2 linked regions of the Drosophila melanogaster genome follow. The protein of the gene in region 2 interacts with the protein of the main gene of each other region in a biochemical or structural test. Each region holds a gene or a part of one and is shown on either strand. Other genes may lie near its edges.

Region 1 (5,017 bases), about 13 Mb from region 2:
TTCCAGTTTTCTTGGCATCCTTGGCTTTTGCCTTCTCAGTTTTCTTATTTTCGGCAGTCTTTTTGGTAGCCACAGCCTTCTTAGCTTTGGGCTTTTTGTCAGCAGCCCCAACGGCAGTTTTTTTGGAGGAGACACCAATCTTCTTAGAGGCTACCTTCTTGCTTTGAACTTTTTTCTCAGCAGACAAAACCTTCGACTTTGCCTTCGGATCCTTTTCCTTCTTGGCAGAGGCCGACAGTTTGAAAGATCCAGATGCACCCTTTCCCTTAGTTTGAATAAGCTTTCCATTGACCACGGCCGATTTTAAGTACTTCTTGATGAATGGCGCTAACTTTTGGGCGTCGCATTTATAAGTGGCAGTGATATATTTTTTGATTGCCAGAAGTGATGAACCGCCACGTTCCTTTAAATTTTTAATGGAAGCGTCCACCATTTGCTGAGTTGGCGGATGTGACGGCGTCGCAGAGGCTTTCTTTGCCTTTGTGCCAGCAGATCCAGATGCCTTTTTTTGGACCACTTTCTTCTCAACTGTCGCTGGTGGGGCAGCCACTGGGGAAGCGGACGTTGCAACTGCAGAATCAGACATCTTTTTTTCACTGAGAACACTTTTTTTCTGTTAAAAATGGCTCGCGCGCTGCCTACCAACCTCCTTTGCTCTGATGAGAATCGAGGAGGAGAGCACTTTAACAATGCTACTGACATCAGTCATTTACTATGTCAAAGTTTGCTTGAAGTGTAAACTTTTATTAATTTTTTAGTATTTTAAATCATTAATAAAAATAAGGTTTTAATAGTTCTACACTTTTAAATAATTTTTTCGTCACTTTCCATTTTTAAAAGGATGTAATATGGGTTTTGAGACTTTCAAATGTTGATTGAATTTTTATATTCAAATTTTTAACTGGACCAATTTATAAAAAAACATCTAATAAAATAAGAATCATTGCAAATATTTCACTAATTCGTTATGTTTATTAAAATTGAAACGTTCATCCCCTAGAAGGGCTTCTGAAAGAAGCGTCTATTATTAATTAAGATACTTTATTACTTGATTTAAGTTCACATTGAACTACAGAAAAATTTGCTTTAAAGCAGCATTCAGAAATAATTTTCGATCGTTAAAAATACAGATACTTTCTTAAATAACATAATATTAATATAATAAATAATATTTTCTTAAATTATTAATGTGTTTGCTTGTTATTAATGTGTTTTCATGCATATTTTAAAATAATTTGTTCTGAAATCAATCGATTTCCTCGCCACATATGCATTACCGTCTATGTAGTCAAATAAATAAATCAAATAAAAAATAAAAAGAAACAATTTTTGTATTATCCTTTATTATGTAATATATATTACATTCCGCAACAAAATTAGCCAATTTCCGTGCTGAATTTTACATAGGTTTTATTTTTTACAGGCGTTTGAAGGGACAGTGTCAATTGTCCCGTACGACCTCTTCAATAATAACACTTTCTTCAGTTAACACATGGAAAAAATATAAAATAGCTAGTTTTATTTTATTATTTTCTGTTATTTTATAAATATTGCCGTCATCAATGTAATTTCATTAATTTCAAACTGTCTTACACAGAATTCAGATTTTTTTTTAGATGTTTAAGGTTCAGAGTCCCTTGCCCCGCACGACACTTTCACTGCTTTAAAGGATGTTCGCACAAAGAACAAATAAAAATATATATTTTTATATATATTTTATATTTATTAACCTCTTCTTTAATTTAATAAATGTTGAGCTGACAATTAAAATAAGATTATTTTTATTCCTTCTCTGGCAGAATTAGTATTTTTACATATGATTTAAGACCCAGTACCGTTTGCGCCATAAATAATAGAATATGAATTTTGTTCTTATTTTTTTTAAGTTATAAATAGTCGGCAACAGAAAATTTTATCTCATTGAATCTGGTTTGTGGTCCTGAAAAGGACCGATTATAGAGTACGCTAGCGCTTTATCTGCAAGTTAATGCCGTGTCAGCTTAAGCACGCTCGCCGCGAATGCGTCGCGCTAACTGGATGTCTTTGGGCATTATGGTGACACGCTTGGCATGAATGGCACACAAGTTGGTATCTTCGAAGAGACCAACCAGGTAGGCTTCGCTAGCTTCCTGCAGAGCCATAACCGCCGAGCTCTGGAATCGCAAGTCCGTCTTAAAGTCCTGAGCGATTTCACGCACCAGACGCTGGAAAGGCAGCTTGCGGATTAGAAGCTCGGTGCTCTTTTGGTAGCGACGAATTTCACGCAAGGCCACGGTTCCAGGGCGATAGCGGTGGGGCTTCTTCACACCTCCGGTGGCTGGAGCACTCTTGCGAGCGGCCTTAGTAGCCAGTTGTTTGCGTGGCGCCTTTCCACCAGTCGATTTGCGAGCAGTTTGCTTGGTACGAGCCATCTCCGATTTGGGTTTCACTAAAGTTCACGTTCACTACTTCACGTTTGAAAACACAATAAACGATCAGAGCATTTGCTACCTACTTATATAGCAATCGTGGACGGTGAAAGAGAGAGAGAGAGAGAGAGAGAGAAAAACGGAGGCCATTTCATTTGACGAGCGAAAAGCGAACGAACATATCGTTCGTACTCTCTCGGGTTTTTGTCGTTTTACCTATAAATAGGGGCACACAGAAACGTTGAAATTAGTTCTTTAGTGACTTTCGTGCTGTGCGTGTATAATAGTATAGAACAGTGAAAAATGACTGGTCGTGGTAAAGGAGGCAAAGGCTTGGGAAAGGGTGGCGCCAAGCGTCATCGCAAAGTGCTGCGTGATAACATCCAAGGTATCACGAAGCCTGCTATCCGCCGTTTGGCCCGTCGAGGCGGTGTGAAGCGCATATCTGGACTCATATACGAGGAAACGCGTGGCGTTCTGAAGGTTTTCTTGGAGAACGTAATTCGTGATGCCGTGACCTACACGGAACACGCCAAGAGGAAGACAGTTACAGCCATGGATGTTGTGTACGCTCTGAAGAGGCAAGGCCGCACCCTCTACGGATTTGGCGGTTAAAAAGTGTACATCCTGTGTACCCCTATTAAGCAATCGGTCCTTTTCAGGACCACCATTCAGTTTTTAAAAGGAGGAAGATTTTCAAAAAGTATTTAATTTTATTGGTCGGGACTCCCAAAAAATATGTTAAACTAAAAATAAATGTCTGTCGTTCGTACTCTTTTAAATAGAATGTGTATTTCTAACATGGATTTGTACAGACTGTACAAATGGTTTCAGACACCGCATGTACAGCATCACATCGTGGTGTGCGATTGTTTAAAGAAGCAAATTATAGTTTATACCGCATATAGTAGAAAACCCTTACTACATTACCATCTTTACGTTAATAATTCTTTATGATTTACTAATTACAACAAATTGCCAAGCTAAAAAATTTTTCAATTCTTTGGTAATAATTTGGTCGTCCTGAAAAGGACGGTTTGATTGACGATTTTATGTACATGTAGGTTTTTAGCTTAGCCTTTGAAACGTTTAGGCCTTCTTCTCGGTCTTCTTGGGCAACAGAACAGCCTGTATATTAGGCAACACGCCACCTTGTGCAATTGTGACGCCGGAGAGCAGCTTGTTTAACTCCTCGTCGTTGCGGATGGCCAGTTGCAGATGACGCGGAATAATTCTAGTCTTCTTGTTGTCACGAGCAGCATTGCCAGCCAACTCGAGAACCTCAGCGGCCAGATATTCCATTACGGCAGCTAGGTAAACTGGAGCGCCTGCACCAACACGCTCTGCGTAGTTTCCCTTCCGGAGCAAACGGTGAATACGGCCCACAGGGAATTGAAGACCGGCACGGTTTGAGCGGGACTTTGCCTTTCCCTTCACTTTGCCACCTTTTCCACGTCCAGACATTTTGCTTTGCGTTTATTTCACTTAGTTCACTTTACGCACGGAACACGAATGCTCGCCTAACCCAGACAGCGAAATATTTATACTTTTCCGTTTGCCTGCGCATTCAGTTAGGGGTGGGTGACTTAGACCTGAATTGACTGCTCGAAAAAAAGTATAAACGTGAACGCGTTCGGGCCCACATTACGATAAGTGAATTGTGTTTGTGAAAATATAAGTAACGTGAACAATGCCTCCGAAAACTAGTGGAAAGGCAGCCAAGAAGGCTGGCAAGGCTCAGAAGAACATCACCAAGACCGACAAGAAAAAGAAGCGCAAAAGGAAGGAGAGCTATGCCATCTACATTTACAAGGTTCTCAAGCAGGTCCATCCTGACACCGGAATTTCGTCGAAGGCGATGAGCATAATGAACAGCTTTGTAAATGATATTTTCGAGCGAATTGCTGCCGAAGCGTCTCGTCTAGCTCACTACAACAAGCGCTCGACCATCACCAGTCGGGAGATCCAAACGGCTGTTCGCCTGCTTTTGCCTGGAGAGTTGGCCAAGCATGCTGTCAGTGAGGGAACCAAGGCTGTCACCAAGTACACCAGCTCTAAATAATTTTCTCCTGCGAATGCGGACAATAATCCAAAACGGCCCTTTTCAAGGCCACAATGTGTTATACCAAAGAAATGCATTTTTCAACTACCAATCATCGAATATGAATTTACAAATAAAACTTATTTACCCGCAATATGGGTAATTGGGTAATGTTCAAATAAATACAAAAAAATCGGGAACGAAAACTGAATGCGACCAACATGCAATGTAATTCATGACATGAAACGTTTTATTGTTGCTGCGAACGTCAGCTAATAAATAAGTGGAAGAAAATAAAAGTTTTTTTCTCTTGCAACGGAACGTTGTAGCCCTGAAAAGGACTTGTTTAAACAAATTTCAGATCTATAAATCATAAATCTAAAATTTTAATTGCGAACATGTACCAAATACTGCACTTTTTCACAATTTACTTTTTGGCAGCCGTAGTCTTCGCTTTCGGCTTCTTGGCGGTAGCAGAAACCGATGCTTTCTTCACCGTCTTTTTGGGTTTTGCAGACACCGCTGGCTTTGCCTTTGACGCTTTCGCTACTACAGCCTTTGGCTTCGC
Region 2 (6,009 bases):
AACCCCAGGTCCAGATGCCAACTCAACTTCTGCTTTCACTGACTCCAAGACCAGAGGTCTTTGATGCACCCTCACCACTGACCAGAAGTCCCTCACGATCTCCCGGAATCTCTCCCCCCGTGTCACCATCACCCAGCATTACTCTCAGACCGAGTACCCCTCCCGAGAACACCGTAATCTTCACAGATGATCTCAAGTGCGGCATCTGCCTGGATGTTTACACAGATCCCAGGACACTGCATTGCTTGCATTCCTTTTGTCTCCAATGTCTGGTCAGCGAGAACTTTAAGGACGAATCTTTGTGGGATCAGGATCAAGCTCGCAGTGAGGAGCCCTCGAATTACAGTCTAAGATCGGAGATGGGTGGATCTAGTGCGGAACTTACTGCGACAGTATCACCCGCCAGGCAGCGAGGTTCCAGTTTTACATTGAGAAGAAAGAAGTCCATGGATCGCCTAGTGATAAGGGTAAGATAGCAAGATACAAAGAGGTTATGTCCTATAAAACCCAATTTATTCGAACAGTCCAAGAGTGACGGAAAGCGATCGACCAGTTCCATCGGTACCCGATTCACCGGAAGTTTTGCCAGCGAGGTATCCACCCGCTGCATCCGCTGTCATACCTGTAACTATCCCACGGATCTTTCGTTAGGTGGAGTACGTCAGCTTCCACAGAACTACTTGCTAGTGAGACGCATAGAGGTCTTGCGACTACAGGCTGGGGAGGATGTAATCTCCAGGGTCTGGTGTTCTCTTTGCACAGAGGAGATTAGCGTAAGGAGGACGAAGTCATTAAGTGATTTGAAGGCTGTCTAAAAGCGTATAATCTTTTCCAGGCCACCTACCACTGCATTAGCTGCACTTTAAACCTCTGCACCTTGTGCAAGGAGGCACACGAAAGGCAAAGGAGCACCGCTAGCCATCGAATGAGAAGCATCCTGGAACTTAGACGCGCCAGGAAGCAAAAGCAACAGCAGATGGGATTGGGAGATAGTAGCAAACTAGTGCTACGATGCGGAATCCATACCAACTTTGAGCTGAAGGCATTTTGCACCAACTGCCGTCAACTGGCATGCACCGACTGTTTGGTGATCCTTCATAAAGGCCATCGACATGAGACCATATCCCGGGCAATTGGACATCAGGGTAAACTACTCAAAGAAGCTACGGATCAAACTCGTCCCCTCTGTCAATATGCGGAGCACTCCATTGAGAGGTTGAATGCCATAGCACGTGGAATCAACGACCGGTGTGACGACATCCAGACTCAAGTGGAGCGGTACATGCAGCAGTACATGGATGCCCTGACAGTCCATCGCAAGACTCTGCTCCAGCAAATCAGCAGAGCTAGGGAGTCCAAAGTGGAGGTAGTGCTCAAGCAGCAACTTGATTTGGGTAAGACATATTTCATTTGGTTAAAGCTCTAGTTATCTGACGTAGTCCTGTAGAGAAACGCACTCAGCAGGCCATGGATGCGGTTAGATTTAGCCAAGAGCTGTGCGAGATTGGTGCTGATGTAGAGATTCTGAGTTATGTGACTATACTTCTAAGGCGTTTGGAGTACTGTCAGCAATTTAAGCCGCCTGTGGATCCCAAGGTAGGTTACCAAATTGCTTGTTTTATTGTTTTATAAAGTAAACCATTTTACCCAGATATCCGACTCGCTTCACTTCCTACCAAAAATCCGTGCTCCGTCGACAAAGGACCAGCGCGATATCCCTCTATATGGCATCATCACCATGCAGGTAGTGGAGCCTAGTCTATGCACCCTTGAGTGGGAGGGATTTTCACAGCTGCGCCTCCACAAAAAAGCGGATCTTCTGCTTCACTCTAGAGATGCCGACGGGGTTTCCCTCTGCCACGGTGGCCTGGAGATCAACTGCATGCTGAAGTACAAGGACTCCAGTTCCAAGTTTCTACCCGTTGAGGTGTCGGACAATCGTGATGGCACCTACAACATATCCTTCACCCCGGATGCCCAGGGCACGTTGATTCTCACGATCACCATTAACGACCGGCCCATCAAGGGAGGTCCTTTCACTTTTCAAGCGCGACAGGTTCGTCCGCATACGGGCATCTACCACTGCTGCTCCTTCTGTTCCGGAAAGGGCAACCGGAACGTGATGTGCTCGTGTGAGGGTCATATGCCTGGATATAGTGGCTGCGGTCATGGACATGCTGGACATCCAGGGAGACGTCATTGGTCCTGCTGTGGAAATGTCCTTGAGAACTCGGAATGCAATGTGGCCAACAAACTGCTTAATTCTTAAGTAATTGATTAGGATGCAGGGCTATAAAACGAATAAATTAACATATAGCCAGGTTTCGCCATTTTGTTTGTTCATCTTGTGAAATTTCAAAGATCTTGTAGTTTATACGCACGCGCAGATAGACAACAAGGATACTTCAAAATAAACGTTTTTCTACCTGCAAAATACATGCATTCCAACAGACCCGACAGTCCATTTACAATGTGCACACAATAATCTCAGATTGCTAAGGCTACAAAATCCCTTTCGACCTCTGGAATTACCAATTGAATTCTCCTTATTACCATATGGTCAGCATATGCGCGTCATATCCTGACCGTTGAGCAACAAGTCGCAAATAAAAGTTACTTATATAGGCTCCAGCAGAATAAAGGTTTTTTTTATTTATTGAAAATGGTTATCATAAATACAGACACTGACTCTGGACATTTATGGAAAAAAGTCCGATGCCTTAAGAGTTGGTTGGGTGGTTTTGAAAGCGCCTGCAAGGAGCTATAATTCTAAGTGGGTAATTTTTCGTTAAATGTATAATCGTTCTTTTTCGCTTTCGATGATCCAACTGTTTAATCTTCATTATCAGAGTACCAGGATAGGCGCTCTTCGTAGAAGTGGATTACCATTCGTGGGATTTTTTCATTGGCCACTGAGGAGGGCACCATTTCTGCTTGGTCCACGCCTTTGAACTGAATGAGGAATGTCAGGCGGCCATTATTGTCGGAGGCACCCAAGATCTTTTCGGCCTCCAGGCCGCGATCGAATCCGGTAGATCCTGAAACGGGAATGGTGTCCTGCTCCGCATCTGTGGTACGTTTTGATTTATTGCCAGAGGGCGCTAAATAAATAAAATAAAAACAAGTAATTAATACAGTGCAATTTTTTAATAGATGCATTTTTTTATTGCAAAGACCATCTTTTTCTTGCGCATGCCATTCTTGCGAAGGACAAAATTTGAGATACATATGTGAATACAGTTTTGACGAAAAGGGCAAATAAATGCCAGTGGATATTGTAGGTGATGACTATTGTTATACCAATTTGTGTACAGAAAATATTTGTAGGTACACTCAATTCCATAGCTTACCTGTTGGTTCTTCGGACTTTCGCTTGCTTGCTGTGGACGTCGAACTGCTGGCGCGTCCTTGAGTTTCCTTGGCCTTGGCGCTGCTGCTGGGTCGATCCTTCTTGGAGGCGGCTGACTTCTCCTACGGACCGAAACGAGATGTAAAGGAAATCCTAGCAAGCACAACTGTACTTGGCATCGCATTGTACTTCACTTACCTCATCCTTGCGGCTCGCCTCGTACTGCTGGATAAGATCCTGGCAGTCGAGATTGTTCTCCGGCTCCCACGTGTTCTCAGTTTCGGGATAGCCCTTCCATTTCAGATAGTACTCCACCTGCAGGTGGAAAATGGCGTTTTAGGACCAAATATAATGGGACGTCTGGTTCGGAAAACTCACCTTTCCCTTGCGCACCCGCCTGTCGATGATCTTTTCCACGGCGTACTCCTCCTCCTCCTCTTCGGCATCGGAAACCTTTGCCGAGCTCTCAGGGTTGTCGATTTTCTTGCCCATTTTGTTTTTATTAAAATACTTCACACGACAAAAAATAAGGAAAGAATTAGCACAACCGCACACAACCGCACACACACGCAAAGTACGAAAGGAAAGTACGATTTTTAGTCGACTCTCTTTGCTTTCATGGCTCACCTAGATTAAATAAGATCTACACTTTATGCACGCAGCTAAATTGGTTTTTATAAGCCTGTGTGTTGGCGCTAGAAGACTTTCCACAAAATGAAAAATCTGCAAAAAAATGCGCGTTCTAAAATGACGCCGGCCGAACAGTGTGCGAAAGTACGCGTGGACTGCTAAGACTACGCTTATCTATTTTCCGATAGATTTGCACATCGTATTAATTTCATTTTAAGTCTAGAAAAATGTTAACACTAAGAACTATCTAAATTTTACAACATAACTATAATAATAACGTAACTAACTGATCGCCAATATCTGTTTTTAAAAATTTTGTAATAAATCGATGAATCGATTAAGGAATCCGTTGTACCACAACTATTATCGACGCGTTTCACAGCACTGAATAAGTTGCGCGAATATTCACGAATTTTTTGACAATTTGCGTTTTGTTTCTTCTGTTTTACGGAAATTCTATAAAAATGCCCAAAACAAAGAAGAAGGATTCGTCCTCAGATAGCGATAGCGGTCCAGATGATGTAAGTTAACTAGAAATACACCAAAACTAGGTATAACAAGTTAAAACCTCTTTCAGCGTATCAAGCCGGCAAGCAAGAAGGCGAAGGAATCTGATGCTCCAAATTCAGATCCAAAAGATTCGGGCGAAAATGGTGCTACATCTTGGACCCTGGAAGGACTTCGCCAGGTGCGAATCAACGAGTTCCGCGGTCGCAAATCGGTGGACATTCGAGAGTTCTACGATAAGGGCGGCCAAATTCTTCCCGGCAAGAAGGGCATCTCCCTATCTTTAATTCAATGGAAGAAACTCCTTGAAGTGGCCGAAGAAGTCACCCGCGCGATCGAGAATTAATTGAAGTTCATCCACATGCCAAACTAAGTCGTAGCCATATGTACTAACTATAGACATATCCACTGAATAAACGTTATCTTAAACACTAGTAATTGAAAATCTGTATTTTCACAGTTGCTGAAGCATTAATGAATGACCAACTTAATTGCCTGATAGGTATTTTCCTTATCTGCTTTGTGGTGGGACTACAAAAAGCACACATATACATAAATGAATGAATCCTTTATTGGACGTCATATGTACATAGATTTGTACATTGATAGCATTTGATATAGATATGAATATTAAAAATAGATGCCCAGAATGGTGAAGATGGACAGGAGAATGGCAAACGGCAGCCAGGTCTTAATAAAACCCCCTATTCCGACGTAGCGGCCGCAGACAAAGAGCCACATGCTGAGGATAATCATGTTCCATGCGGTGCTGTCGTAGTAGCGCATGTAGATGAGTGCCGTTGCCACATGCGAGTGGCAGTTGTCACAGAAGATATTGTGGATGCGGGTGCCGTAGAGCACAGATGCTTTGGAGACCGCCTCGTCCCAGGCGTAACTGCCGCCCACCATGTGCTTGGGGTGCAACCTTATGTACCGGGTGGGTCTTCCAAAGGCCATGTTGTCCTCTGATACGAAGTAGGGGCCGGCGAAGTCACGAATCACACCGGACGAAGTGCAAATGCCCATATGTCCGATCATGGGCATCAGCCAGGTGAGAACCGGAATGGGAGTCCAAACGATGCAGTAGGGGAAGCGTTGGTCCTTTACGTTGATCGGAGGCAGTCTATCCGGAACGCCATTGCCGGCTCCTCCTCCGGAACTGGCCATCGAGATCTGAACGTCCTCGGACTGTTGCCGCTGCGGACTTGGGTTTGTCGACATTATTACACTGTATTAGGTTGATATTTGTGCGGGGAAGCCACAAGAACAGTCACTCACGGTCTTCCCGGCCGTAATGCCCATGAAACGAGTCGCTAACAATTCCAATTGGGCTTTAATTGTACGATAAGGAGAAAATAAAGCAGTCGCAGTTCACTCACATCTACCTCAGTATTTATTGACATGGAGATTGACAGTGTTGGAAAGCATTGCTGTATGGCAGAGGCGTCTGAAAGGGGGATCCAGAGACCACGTACAAACGTAGTCACACGAAATTTTCAACTCCGCAAAGTTGACAAATTCTT

The links. Proteins that work in one complex are often made in the same cells at the same time.
Region 1: the proteins of Su(var)205 (region 2) and His3:CG31613 form a complex in vitro, tested with the Drosophila melanogaster proteins (9 studies listed by BioGRID, with this or other methods).

Annotation. Positions count from the first base shown.
Region 1 is NT_033779.5:21,422,644-21,427,660, reverse strand, and holds His3:CG31613 (histone H3), read right to left. Parts: upstream 2,469-5,017; 5' UTR 2,412-2,468; coding exon 2,001-2,411; 3' UTR 1,940-2,000; downstream 1-1,939. Other genes in the region: His1:CG33804 (histone H1), read right to left, coding at 1-586; His4:CG31611 (histone H4), read left to right, coding at 2,712-3,023; His2A:CG31618 (histone H2A), read right to left, coding at 3,498-3,872; His2B:CG17949 (histone H2B), read left to right, coding at 4,099-4,470; His1:CG31617 (histone H1), read right to left, coding at 4,877-5,017.
Region 2 is NT_033779.5:8,207,003-8,213,011, forward strand, and holds Su(var)205 (suppressor of variegation 205), read right to left. Parts: upstream 4,121-6,009; 5' UTR 3,842-4,120; coding exon 3,728-3,841; intron 3,665-3,727; coding exon 3,548-3,664; intron 3,472-3,547; coding exon 3,351-3,471; intron 3,102-3,350; coding exon 2,833-3,101; 3' UTR 2,624-2,832; downstream 1-2,623. Other genes in the region: CG8419 (uncharacterized protein), read left to right, coding at 1-467, 525-773, 836-1,394, 1,448-1,596, 1,652-2,269; Ssb-c31a (single stranded-binding protein c31A), read left to right, coding at 4,444-4,500, 4,557-4,832; CG8372 (uncharacterized protein), read right to left, coding at 5,117-5,707. UniProt on the Drosophila melanogaster protein: Structural component of heterochromatin, involved in gene repression and the modification of position-effect-variegation. Recognizes and binds histone H3 tails methylated at 'Lys-9', leading to epigenetic repression.